2 linked regions of the Rhinolophus ferrumequinum genome follow. The protein of the gene in region 1 purifies or fractionates together with the protein of each later gene. This does not show direct contact. Links are inferred from orthologs where the notes say so. Each region holds a gene or a part of one and is shown on either strand. Other genes may lie near its edges.

Evidence for each region. Proteins that work in one complex are often made in the same cells at the same time.
Region 2: the proteins of PPP6C (region 1) and PPP6R3 purify together in Homo sapiens (affinity purification with mass spectrometry; 10 studies listed by BioGRID and IntAct, with this or other methods). This does not show direct contact. The link is inferred for Rhinolophus ferrumequinum from reciprocal best matches to the Homo sapiens genes PPP6C and PPP6R3.

The regions. Positions count from the first base shown.
Region 1 is NC_046295.1:74,838,584-74,845,497, forward strand, and holds the start of PPP6C (serine/threonine-protein phosphatase 6 catalytic subunit), read right to left. Parts: upstream 3,069-6,914; 5' UTR 2,907-3,068; coding exon 2,832-2,906; intron 1-2,831.
Region 2 is NC_046294.1:4,279,787-4,287,124, forward strand, and holds the start of PPP6R3 (serine/threonine-protein phosphatase 6 regulatory subunit 3), read right to left. Parts: upstream 3,074-7,338; 5' UTR 2,940-3,073; intron 2,202-2,939; exon of another isoform or gene 2,086-2,201; intron 1-2,085.

The sequences.
Region 1 (6,914 bases):
CATAAAAAAGCCAGGGAGAATTCTTTGAACCTTTATGGAGGCATTTCAGACAGAGGTACAACTGTGCAGAGCAGGTAGCCTTATATGAAAAACTTAGGAGATGGCTCAGACTAAACATAAAAGTGAGTTCCAAAAAAAATTACATTAACAATTAATCCATAAAAGTGGTTACTATGGAATCACACAATTCCTTGTGTTGCATCTCTGAGACAGACACTAGTATTCTCCAACCCCTACCATGGTAACTCTCTTTGGTTCCTCAGTGAAAAAAAACTGTACACCAACTCAGTGTGCAATTTCTTTGCTTACATGTCACCTTTAAGAACTATCCAAGAGATCAGACAATCTCCAACTTATAAAACCCATCCCCTGCCAAAGTATTTAAGTTGAAGTATTCAGTGAAACAGTCTTTTATCATTCATTCTTCCACTTGATCAGATCAGTCTACCTATGTCTTCTATGATCAGCTCTGAATCCTTATGGATGAGAATCACATGAGCTCTTTTTAAAGAAAGGGTATGCTTTGGTCCACTCACTTTTATAGTTCATTCTTATTCCTGCGAAACAGTTACGAAGATTCGATTGTGTACTAGTGACATGACCACTTACAATTTAGGTGTAGAGAAATCATGATTAGATCTAGAGCATCTTATACATTTAGTATTTTACTTAGTACCTCCAACTTAAAGTCAATTTAAAACACACTGAATTTCTGCCTTTTCTACCAGAACAAATCTTTTCCATAATGATCATTACGTGATCCCAGTGATTTCTTTTCTTCCTCTTACAGAATCTTTTATTTTGGCTTTAAAGCCTTAGAAAAGGTACTCCTGGAATACTTTCTTGGACTGCCTAATTTTAGTTTGCACTTCATGCCAAGAAGAAACAAAATTAAATTTCTTTAAATACACCAGAGATGAGCATACATCACAAGCAAATTAATCTGATAAAAATATTTCCAAGACAAAGAAGAAAAGCCTCCCCTTATTTAAAAAAAAATTCAGAATTTTTCCCTCAGTAGATTTTTTTAAATTTATTAATAACTAGATACATGCTAAGTATACGCCAATTGTGTTGCAAAGGGAAATGAAATGGTTTAAGAACTATTTTTCCTTAAGGTTGGAAGGAACTCTAACGTTTATCAAACTAAGAGGTCTAAAGAAAATCCAACTGATGTATCATCCAAATAATTTCAATATCAATTTCAAGTTAATATCAAGACACATTTTCATAATAAGCAACATTTTACTAATTATAAACACAAAGCTTAAAACTGCTTTACAGATGCTAAAGAATAGAAAATTTCACATCAATTCACTGACAAAAAAACAATAACTTCACCCATGGGATTAACAATGTTACCAAAAGATGTCTGGTTAGATTTCCATGAACTGGATACCAGTGTTGGTTGTATCCTTGTTTCCTTAAAAAGCATATAGCAGAAAGAAGCCACAAAGGACTCAGATGAACATGAAAGCTGCATTTCTACTAATACTGGCTTTGTCCTCCTTTTAATTAAATTATCCTATTCGTATATGTGCTGCCGAAGCGAGCACTAAATTATCCTATTAAAAAGGGGGACATGCACAAGAATGACTCCCCTATCATATAGCATATATTTACCTATAAGTACAATAAGTTACATTAAGGTCCTTTGGCCTTCAAGATTTTGCATACTTTTTGACTGACATTAAACATCAACTTCCTGCATCAAAAGGGCAAAACAAAAAAACCAGTAACATCTTCCTTAAAAGAAAAAAATTCACGGACAAAGATGAATTGCTTTAAACCCACAGCTTAAAAGTATAAAAAAAAATTCATAACTACACAGTTTACCCACTTACCACATACAAACCAAAGTTAACTGAAAAAAATAAAAGACAGTAGCCCTACTAACCGCTATATGCTGCTGACACCTAAACACCGGTTTTAACAAACGCACAGAAATAGAAACACTTGTCAAAGACTGACGTTTATTCCTTTACCCACACATACTTTACTGTTACTTGGACTTGGCAGTAACAAAAAACTCGCCTCCTTTAGTAAACCAAAAAAATGAAATATTGGGTTAAGAAAGGATTATGGAGAAACACCTTAAAGGACAGAAAAGTATTTGTATTTATTGAGGGCCTACTAAATTACCCACTTATATTAGTTTTACCCACTTAAATTAGCTCAACAACATACTTGCAAATGGAATTCATATCTGAGCTGGCAGAAGAAAACCAACACTCCTGAAAAGCAGCTGGGAGGAGTGGTAGGAAAAGAGGGACGACTTGACGTTTTCCCGCATCACCACCAAACCGCTCCCGCCCACCGTCTTCCAGTCCTCAGGAACCCAAACACGCTGACTGAGGACGCGTTCCGGAGGCCGGCGGCATCTCCTGTCATTCGCCAGCCACCCAGACCTCCTGTCATATTTGGGGGGATGACCCATTCCGAGGGCACTGCCTGCTGGGGCTCGGTTCGGACTCCGGAAGACCGGAGATGGAGTTAGGGGCGAGAAGACTTCTGTTCCAAGCACAGCTGTGAGGGCTCAGTGCCCCGGGACACCCGAAAGCCAGGGGGGATAACCCTGGGACAGAGGCCGCGACATCCCTCAGGATCCCCACTACGGAACTGGGACAGCATTCGGGGGACTATGGCTCCGCTCCCTCCGCTCTCCGCAAGAAGGCAAGTCGGAACGGGTCGCTCAGCACTGCGTCAGGCCCTCCATCGTGACGGGACGGGATGCTGGCGGGGGTCCGGGGTAGAGAAGGGCGGGCCGGCGGGCGCCCCACTGCCGGAAGGGGCGAGCCCGCCAGCAGCGCTCCCGCCCCGACCGGGCTCACCTTCAGGTCGTTCTCCGGTAGGTACTTGCACAGCCGCGCTATCTCCACATACTTGTCCAAGTCTAGGGGCGCCATTTTAGAAATAACAAGCCCGGACGGCGGCGGCGGCGGCGGCGGCTGGAGTATCGGCGGCAGCGGCAAAGGCCGAAGCCGGAACTCTTCCTACGTCACGTCCGGCCCGTGAGAGGCATCTGCGCAGCGGCGTAAAGCTTGACCCGATTCTCCCCGCTGCTTCGGCACGCCCCGATCCTTCTCCCGCTGAACGCAGGCTGCGGGCCCTAAGGGGCTCCCTGGCTACATAAAATGAAACCGGCTGCGACCCGTAGTTGTCTGCCGCTGAGAGGGATGGGATTTGTAGTTTTCAGTAGCGGCCAACTACGCCTCTTTTCCTCCTCTTCCCTTCCTCCAGACTTTAACGTCTGGGGACCCAACGAGGCTTTTCCGATGCAAAACGGCGAAGTATGTGACTCTAGTCATTCCCTGGTTTCCCACTACGACTCATTTAAGCATTCTGTCACGAGAACATCTTCAATTAAAAATTAGGTAAGCTTGGCCGTAGTAATCTGTTTGCACCTTTCCGAGGCCTTGTGAAAACCTTGCCTAAATCTGTGGCAGAGATGTCAGGCTACGAATCTTCCAGCCTGGAAGGAAGCGAAACAAATATTAAAGCGTTTTTTATGCCACATGCTATATAAATGCTGTTTTTCCTCATAATGATTGATAGGAAAGCAAGGCTCAGAGAGGTTAATTTTCCCAAGTTTCAAAGGGAATAGGCGCGGGAGCCAGGATTGGAACACGGGTCTAGCTGGTTTAAATATACTTCAGTGTGAATCCCATGCGAGCACGTAGTTTTTGTTGTACCCTCAGTTCCAAGAACAGGATCTGGCACTAAGTACCTTCAATATTCGTTCATTCAACAGCTTTTACTGAACACCAACTATGTGCCAGGTACAGCTGTCGACACTTGGGATATTCAGCAAACAAAATAGACGAAGATCCCTATCCTCAACCCATAGCTACTTTGTAGTAGAGGAGACAGAACATAAGCAATAAATATCATAAATATATAGTATATTTAAAAGTAATCAAGTGCTGGGAGGGGGGAAGCACAGCATGATAAGGGAGGTGAGATGATGCATTTTTAAGAACCAACAAAGAGGTGGGGGAGTTAGCCAGCAGATACTAGAGGGGAGTTATGAGAAAGAGCTAACACAAAGGCCTTAAGATGGAAGCATATCTAGAACCTTGGAAATGGCAAAAAAAATTAGTGTGGTTGGAGCAAAGTGAGAAGAGGAGATGTGAGAAAAGAATGTTGTTGTTTTTGTTTTGTTTTGTTTTTACTGATTTTTACTTTTAATGTAACGGAGTTACTGCAGGGTTTTGAGCAGAGGAGTAGTAACATCATCTAACTCATTTTAGAAGGATCTGGTGCAATATGAAACTAGGAGGCAATGGTTGCAGCTGAGAGACGAGTTAGGAGACTGTTACATAATCCAATAGTAGCAGGTTCTCAATCTATATTTGTTACTCAAGTGGCCCTGGACTGGATCCTCTTGTTCTACAATGTAGTTGGGGGACATTTGGCTAAAATTTAATCAAGTCTCTGGGTGGAGTTCTTCATATATTTCTTGTAACTGTTCTGTAAGTATAATATCATTTCTAGTAAAATTAATTTTTTAAAATTGGTTGCACAATGAATGATGCTCACAAACATACATTTCTTCATTTGTTCAATAATAGTTACATAGTACCTATGATGTGAATGATACAGGAGACAAACAATAAACATAAATGAGCACGTAATTAAATGCAAAGTGTGATTACTGTTAAAGAGGGAAAGAAGGGGTACTGTGAGTTAAAAAATGGAGGAGAGGCCTATTTTAAGATTGTCAAGATAGTGGAGGTTAAGTGTGCAGACTCTAGAACCAGAGTTCAAGTCTATTACTCACTGTATCACTTTGGCAAAGTTATTTATCTTTTCTGTGCTCCAGTTTTCTCAGCTACAATATGGAGATAGTAATAAGTGCCTACCCCATACGGAGATGTTCAGAGTAATACTTTATAGGCTTGTACTAAGGTTTAATAAATTTAATATGTGGAAAGGGGTTAAAACGATGTCATGTCCAGAGTGAGTGCAATGTGAGTGTTAGCTCTTCAGCATTGGACGGCAGGAAAGGCCTTTCTGAAGAGGTAACATTTAAGACTTTAGGGGGAAAAAGTATAAGGGAGAATATGCTCAAAATATCTTGAAGAAAAAAATTCCAAGTGAGGAAAATATGCTACTGTTGACTTTTTTTTTTTTATACTCCTCTTTGGAAAGCTGGCAGTTCACTTTTCATCTCTGCACCTCAGTAACTGGGAATGAATCCTACTCAAGATACTATCTCAGAATTGGGAAGGAGGACAAAGTGCTTGAAAGGAAAGTGTCACCGGCATCATTGCTTCCCTTGCTGATAAGCCAGTGATCAGGTAGGTAATGAAAGCATATGAGATCCTTTCCAGTGAAAATAACTGGTAGTCCTCACATTACCAAATTGTCTGGCAGCAAGAAGCTCCATCCTGCAGACCCACCTTATTCGGTGACCCTCACTGTTCACATGAGGAGCATAGAGAAAGGAGGAAGGTATCCCTGAATGGTGGGTGAGTTCTTAGAAGAGGTAATAGACACATTGGGTGGTTTGTTACACAGACAGTGAGTGTACAGAGCTTGCTGACTGGAATATGTCATTAGTCTTCCTTGCACAAAGCAGAAGATCTGGGCTCCTGGTTCTGCCATTTGTGTGAGTTAGTCATTTTAACTTATCTGGGCCTTGATTTCCATTTTAAAAATAGATCTCAAAAGTTCCTTCTAGCACTTTCTGAAATGTGATTTCTAGTCTAAAAGCATAGGTCCCACAATGAAAACTGTTTGCTATTTTGCCCACAAACCTCTTCCAGTTTTTCTTGTTTATGTGCAACTCCAGCATGGTATTTTGAAAAGTACTTTGAAAAGCCAAAAGACATAGGGGACATCAGAGCATTCTACAACTCTAAGCAGAAATCTCCATCTAGATGCACATGGACATATGGCAGAGCCAACCTGCCCTTGGCTTCCTTTCCTGAAGGAGAGCAGAATGACTAAATACCCCTAAACTCCTCTTTGGCAGTCAGTGGAGATTTTCCCATTAATATGAGAACTCACAAAGACTCCAGGTGTTTGAAATAGGATGTTTGAGCAGTGAAGAGAACTGCAGACCATATTGTCAATAAATTTTCATTATAGTTTCAAGTAACCAAAATATTTACCAAGTTGGCCTTTCACCTGTACTATCCAACACTCTCAACTGCTTCCTCTGAGGTAGGTGTTACTATTCCCATTCTGTAGATGATGAAACTAGGGCTCGCAGAGGGTAATGAACTTGCCAAATGTCAGGGTTAGATGGTTAGTGCTGGAGCCTGATTTGAACCCAAGTGTCTCTTTCTGCTTCCCACTATGCTACCATATTTCTGTACTCCAGGAGCTCCCATATTTCCTTCCTTAGCTGTTTCTTGTATTTCCTAGGATACAATTGGCCTCAGCCCTCTAAGAGATTGCGGGGGTTCTCTGAAACAGGCATTGGTGAGCCGCCTCTCCATTTTGAGGAAAGCCACAGGGAACCTATGGTTATGGAGACCAGAGAAAATGCGGATGAACACTTCTAACTCAGGACTCACGTCTAGAGTTGGGTTATAGCTAGGAATAGCATTATACTTTACAAAGGACCAGCTCTACACCAGCAGCTGGGCACTGAGCACTTTATATTAGCTCATGTATTCCCCACCATAACCTTGTGACAGAAATCTTAATTAGCCCCATCTTACAGACAGGTAACACCGAGGCCCAGAGAAACTTAACTTTCCCAAGAAATACTCTCATTGATGAACTTTTTATTCCTTACACTTTTTACAAATGTACCTAGTTATTTGTTTTTCTATTTAACCTCTCTCTCTCCCTGTCTAGTACGGTTGTAAACTCCAGGAGGCCACGGACCTTTTTTGTTTGGTTCAGCATAGTACCTGCCATAGTTACACATGCTAATTCTGGAATGAATCAGCCCTTTAAGG
Region 2 (7,338 bases), on another chromosome or scaffold:
ACCCATGGTCTTAAAAAGAATCCCAAATGATTCTAACCCAAACCAGTCTAGCATCTGTCTTGCTCAACCTTGGCATTATTGTTATTTGGAGCGGGAGGGGGAGTCGGGAGGAGGGAATGCTGTCCTGTGCCTTACAGGATGTTGAGCAGCTTCCCTGGTCTCTACCCTTTAGCTGCTCACTCCCACTGGGGTGACAAGTTAAAGTATCTCCAGACATTGCCAAATGTTTCTCTAGAGGCAAAATCATCCCCCAGTTGAGAACCACCGATCTGGAGTAAATAAAAACCAATCATTTGAGGTTTTCTTCGGAAAGAAAGAAAAAACAAAACAAGAAAGCTACTTAAAGCCAAGAGGCTAGGTCTATGTTTTCAGTTCCTCGCACCTGAGAAAAGTAGCTAACACTACTCAGCCCACTGGGGCTCAGATTCTGACTTATAAGGAGGAACAAACCACAGCTTCTTGGGCTTTTCATGAAATAAACTCAATGCTGAGTTTTAGCTGAGCAGATGGTTAGAAGAGCTTCAGTCACTATCATTTACTCTCCTTAAGGGTAACAAAAACATTGTAAAATTTTAGACCAATATCCACTCAGGTTGCATCTCAAATATCCAAAATATAAAACTGCAACATACAAGTGTATCATAGAAACAAAGTCAATATTGAGCCTGACAACTACTGTTCTAAGGAAGACATGTTTTACCTGTAATAAGCATATTATCTTTGTACCAAATAGATACCAAAAATTAAACAAACCGAGCAAACCTCACCCTGTCGAGTCTCAATTTTACTACTATTCACTTTATGTCCAGCTATGTTCTCACTCTCAACTTCTCAAGTAACTAATTGAAACTAGCAAGTTTTTGTTTTGTTTTGCTATAATTTACACAAAAGCTATTATAATTTTCTGATCCAAACTGACCTTCTTCCTGTTCCTGAGTTAAGTTACAGCAGCAAGATGCTCAGCTCTACTTAAGACTGAGTCTATCCAAGCAACACTTTCCCAGTGCAAGACAGGTCCCAAGCTAGTAATGCCAAGGAAAAGGGGAGCACGGTTTCGAGTACCAGGGAGACGCACACAGGGCAGTAGTTAAAAGACTGTGGTATATGTGTGACTGACTGGATGGCATTTTGTTAAATATTCTAGATTCCCTGATCAGACACACTGAAACGCAAAACAGCTTATTCCCCAAACCATCTTTACTGAAATAAATGTCAATACACAATAACCTTTCAAACCTAAATAACCACCCAAGAGTACACAAAGAAATCCTGGAGTTACTGATTTGGGGGGCAATCATACTAAGGATGTAACACCCACAAGAGGAAAAGAATCTGACTCGAGCTCCTGATGGGCTTTTCTTTATTTACATCTCCTAAACCAAACATTCTGAGGCACCACCGCTAAAAATTACTCCAGGATACGTTTGTAATTCAGTGAATCTTCAACCACCCCTCTCCTAAAAAAAATGGAAAACATTTCCACTTCATTTTCTCACTCCAGCTGATTCTTAAATACACAAAGTTTTCCAAAGACATTCACCAAGAGCCAGCGCTTAAACACTCATCTGACTTTCTAATAATACCTAAACATTTAAAAATCAAATTTAAATTAATAATAATTGCCACTAATTACTAAGCTGATTCTGCGTGCTAGGCACCTTTTCTAACTGCTTTACATGTATTAACTCATTTACTCCCAACAAACTTTTAAGGTAGACACTTATTATTCCCATATTACACAGGAAGCAAAGAGACTGAGTAACTTGCCCAAGGTCACAAAGCTAGAAAGTGGTGAAACCAAGATTTCAATCCAGGCAGTCTGACTCCAGAGCGAAGATCGCTCAAACACCACCACCACCTAGCAGACGTCCCACTGGCTGGAAATCTGGAGTCCCTTTCCCACTTGCTGCCTACCTGCAACATGACCTTGAGGACTGAATCGAAGTAAAATTCACATCAAAGTGGGGCAATATCCACGTTATCAAGTGCCGTGAGGATGAAAGGAAACTACCAAGTAAGCGCCCCTCCCATAAAAGCAAAACATAAACAACGCTCCACGGGACCCACAGAGAAAATGTGAAATACCGGAAAAATTACACGAAGCTCTGACGCGTCAGGACAGAGATACATCCAAGGGCTCGTTCCGTGCACCTTACAGCCAAAAGTCCAAGTTGTGATCAGAGCAGGCGGGATGTGGGAAGAAACCCCTCCAAGCTAGGAGCGAACAGGCTTCTTTAAGAGGGAGGTACTTCCAGCCGCAGAAGGACCACCCCCCTCGCTCATATTCGCCAGGGAGGCTTTCGTGACCAGGTCTACATTCGAGTCACAACACTGGAGTTAAAAAATCGCTCAGAAGGCTATTTAAATACTCCGAGCTGCTTTTTGCGTTTTCCAGCGAGTCTGCAGCGAATGAATAGAAACCCACAGAACTTGTTTCCCGGAGAACGAGTCCAACAATGGCCTTCGCCCGTCTACAGCGAGCTGCCCCTCAACTTGACATGCTTCCGGGGCTCGCGCGGAGAGTTCTCCGGGGCCCGCGCGCGGGGCGGCGCCCGGGGCGGGCAAGCGGGAGCGGAACCGAGCCAGGCCAGGTTAGGGGCGCGCCCCGCCCGCCACCACTGCCGCGCAGGGCCGCGGACCTCATCGCGGGCGCAAAGTTCGCCGTCGGGCCCGCGTCCCACCCCAGCGCCCCGCACGGCGGGGCCCCCGCGGCCCGTGGCGGGCGAGCAGGAGGCTGACAGGCGCGGACCGGGACGGCCGGGAGAGCCTGGACGCCGCGCCTCTCGGGCCGCCGAGCGGCGAATTCCGGGGGGGAGGGGAGGGGGCCGGGACGCTCCCTCCCCGCGCCGCCGAGGCCAGGAGGAAGAGCCTCGCCGCCGACCGCGCGCCGCGCACCCCGCGCCGCTACCCGCTCCGCCGCCCCCCTCCCCCTTCATTACCTGGAGGTGCCCGCGACCCGCCGCTAGTTGCGCTCAGGCGGGAAACGCGCTCACCGACACCATCAGCGAAGCGCCCAAAATGGCGGACGTATCAAGCAGGCCTTGAGTTCTCCCCGCCCTCCCTCTGGCCTCCTCGCAACCAATTGCGGCCCTGCCCCCGCCCCCGGCTCCACGGTCATTGGCTTCCCTCTCCCGTCCCCTGCAGCCTATTGGGGCGCCCCGCGGCCCCGTTGCACCCACTCTTATTGGCTCGCAGGCCCCGTCAGTCAAGGGCAAGGGGCGCATTCTTTTCCCATGGACTTGACGGATCCGGAACCTCTAGGACCCCGGAGTCTGGAAAAACAAATCAGAAACCAGGAGAAACCTGGCTGGGTCCCCCTACGCCGTAGCAACAGCAGGGCCCCTGTTTGACGGACGCTTCGGACCACCAATCCGATAGCAAATGCTTTTTAAAACTAAACTGAGCCAAACCAATCATGGCCGTGAAGCTGGAAGCTGCAAGGGAACCAATGGGGTAGCGAGACCCGTGGGCGGGTTGGAGAGCCTGCAGGAAACCGGTGATGACGTGAGTCACAATATGTGTCCGCGGCGGAAGTTTTCTGGACCTGGGGAATTAGCTCAAATGGTAGAGCGCTCGCTTAGCATGTGAGAGGTAGCGGGATCGATGCCCGCATTCTCCACGGCTGAATTTTATAAAGGGAGACCTGCACGTCCTCGGTCACCTTACGAGGAAAAGGTGGCTGTCGCAGGAGTTAGGGGTCACGTTCACGGTAGAGAGGTCAGACCAGGTTCCCCCAGCCCCTACCCCTACGGTACCGGGAGAGAAGAAATGTTTTGCCTTACGGAAGGATTTACACACGAGTTTCTTCCGAAATGCTAGAGGGCGACAATTGGCGACAGGGCTAAAAGCTGGGGGCAAGTAAGCGTCCGGTGAAACCCAGCCGGAATTCAGCGAACGCAAAATTACGCACCCACGAGTGTGCGCGCAGCGCAGGGGAAGCTTGGGCTGCAGGCTGCGGAAGCGGGGTGCTCTGCATTCGTGGGCAGCCCTTTAGTGAGCGCCTGGTGTGTGCACAGCCTGTGGGGGTTCGTCAGACACCACCTGGGTAGCACCAGGTAGTGGTAAGTAAAACAGGCCGCCGAGTGGTGCGGGCCCTTCCTGAGCAGGTGTCATTTCAACACAGGGACAGGGAGGACAGAGCTGCAGGCTCTTGCGTCCAGATGGCGGGGAAAGAGGCCTGAAGCCCCCAGGTGGGGCTGTGGAGCGCCAGGGAGGCAGGTGTAGCTGCGTTGTGGTGGGAGAGGGCATGCGCATGGCAGGGAGAGGAGGTGGCAGAGGTGACTGGGTGGTGGCCGGGCCTTGAGGACAAGTGAAGGAACTTGGGGTTTATGCTCAGAGATTGAGGTCCAGGAAGCGCTTCTGGGTAGCGAAAGGCGTGTTCATGGCTGGCCTAACTTTATTTAGAAAGGACTGTTCTGAGCAAGAGCAGCAAGGCAATGCTACAGGAGGCAGAGGGCGGGGGCGGCAGGCCCCAGGGGCTGGACCTAGGAGTCAGGGAGAGGCTGCAGGGAACACTGGCATAGGAGTTGGTGCCTGAGAGGGAGGCTGGGCGTGGATAGGAGGGGACAACTAGGGCTGGGACCTGCCCTCGGGGGCACCTAGGGAGGGCCCAGCCACCCACTGATCTCTTTACTGGTTCATCTTCAAAGGACTTGCCAGTACCTGCTTCTGGCTCCTCCATCCCAGACTCTGAAGTGGGTCCTAGGGCCATGTGCACTATAATTAAATGAAATAATGCAGTACCTCACCCAATATAAGTGGGCCCCGAAAGTCTCCAGTTAGATGAGCTCCTAACCTAATCTGAAGGGTTGAAGCCAGGAGAACTTCCTGAAGGGGGAGGCATCTGAGCCCTGCCCGTCACCTGAGGGCAGTAGGGAACCACTGACAGGCTTTACAGAGGAGAGGGACTTTTGAAGCTTTGCATCGGCCTCACTGTTGTCGAGTTTCTAGATTTCACAGAGCACCACTCTCCCCCTTTTTCTCCTTAATCCTTTGGTGATTTAATTTTTAATGTTTAAATTTGCAACCCATCTAGACTTTTAAAAAATTTATACGAATCATTTCTCACACACTCAACAGTAGAGAGAAACATTATGAACGCCCATGTGCCTGTCACCCAGCTAGTACTCCTAAACTTTGGGAACAGCCACAGAACTGTGTCATTACTAATTCTATCAAGTAATGGTTTTTAAAAATACCATTTATTATTGCCGTCCTTTCATACAAGGAAAGACATTTGAACATACATACACTTAGGTAGGAAAGACTAGCTCAGGATAAACAAAAAGGCTTTAAATTGAATAAGCTCAGCTTGGGGACAAAGACATCCTATTGGCTTTCCTTTTGTTACATCACCAGGGCTCAGTCCTGATCTGAGAGCTAGAGGGGGGCCATGCTGAGGACAGCCATGCTCCAGAGGGGCCCGGGCTGGTTCTGGGTCAGGTCAAGGTCGGTTGAGGTTGGAGATAAGGGGCCAGATATGCAGCTCTAGTGGGATGTGAAGGGTCGACCGATTTTAACACGGAAACGTTAACTTTTCTGTTTCTTTTCCTTTTCTTCCCTGCATTAAGATTCAATCTGGGTTGGGGAGAAGGTATTTCCCTTCCTGCTAGAGGACTGTTGGTAGCCCAAGTGTTGGTAGAAAGGGGAACCAGTAGGTTGCTACCAATTAGGGCCGCTAGCTTACGGGGAAAGAACAGGAGGGCATTTGGGTGCAGAGAGAGAGAGGTAGACACATGGGGATCTGGATGAGGACCTTGAGGGAGGAGCCAGCAAGGGGGTTCCTTGGCGGGACCCCAGCCTGGTGACCTGAGGGTACGGTCCAACAAGCGGGTCTCAGTGCTGGGAAGAGCCATCTGAGAGGCTCTCAAGAAGGTACCCTGCAGGGGCCAAGTGGGATCCTAGCCCCACCCCACTTCCCACCACCCAGGTTTCTCCACTTCACCCACATCCCAGTTCCCCATTGTCCTGCCTGGCACTGGACATGCCTAAAATCTGGCCACGTGGATTTTGTTCGGCTGCCCGGGGCAGCTATGGACCCAAGAGGGCTGCCGGGCCCAGGCAGGGCGGAGCTCCCACACGCATCCTGCGGCCAGCCTGGATGAGGCCTGAGCTGAGCAAATGGCTCCTCTGATATGGTCAGGGAGGCCCTGTCGTTCCCCGAGGGACACCCTGCAGGGCTCAGTGAGGGCTGACAGAGACTCAGAGGTCATGCGTGTCACCGCAGAAGTGAGAGGGTTTGGAGGGAAGGTGGAAGCCCTTTTGGCCACGTTGAGTAACACCCAGTAACCAGTTAGTAATGTTTATCGGATAAAGGAGTGATTGAACAAATGAATGAAAAAAATTGTGGCTTTTCTTTTTTTTTCCCTGAGCCTTGGTTTCCTCAACTACAAATCGAAGATACCTCGCTGGGGTGTTGTGAAATTTAAATGAAACAAGCTAAGTTAACTTCACCCCCTCAGTTAAGACTGCTTAGACGTCACCTCCTCCAGGAAGCCTTCCCATCTGAGTGTGATACCCTTTCTGGGCCCCAGATATCTCAACACTGCTTTCCCCCAGCCAAGACTTTGGAAAACTCTCCATGATGGATTTGGAGTACCTTCAAGGGAGGACATCTGACTAATCTCTGGGCCCCCCAGCAAGGGCTCTGCAGGTAGTGGGTGCTTACTGAAGGCTGACAGATTTATTTGGCACATAGTAGGAGGCCAGCAGTTTGGCCCATTCCCCCTAGCTGATTGCAAGGCAGGAAAGCGTCCAGCAGAGTGGTCTCTGGCCACCAGATGGCACCCATAGCCATGCAATGGATCTATCAGGGGACACTCCAGGGTGCTGGGGGGGAGAGCGGGAGGGCTGCAGAGGTAACTCAATCGTCCCCAGCCCACGCAGGCCACGGGGGTCACAGCCCAGGTCATTTCTTCCCCACCCCTGGTCTGATCCCTGGCAGGCCCTAGAGGACTGGATGGCTGGCTGGGTGGGAGAATGGAGCAGAGGTGCTCCTGGGGACCCCCGATGCACGATTGAAGGGCAAGAGAGTGGACGGAGGTCTCCTAGGGGAACCCCCCAATGCAGCCACTGCTTCTGAGTCAGCAAAGGTGCCCTCTGCTCCCCGCGTGGCTGCCCAGGCCAAGACTGGTACTTTAAATTAGCACCTCAGGGCGTGGGGCCCAACCTGGAAGAACAGGAATCCTGAGTGCTTAGAAGCCCCCCCGCCCCCCGCCCACTGCAGGCAGCTCTGTGGGGCAGGGGACCCCACCTTGGGCTGGGAGTCTGGGTGCACCATCTAGCTCTGCCGGTCCTTTGTGGTATGACCTGGGGCAAGTGCGTCAGCTCTGAGTTTAA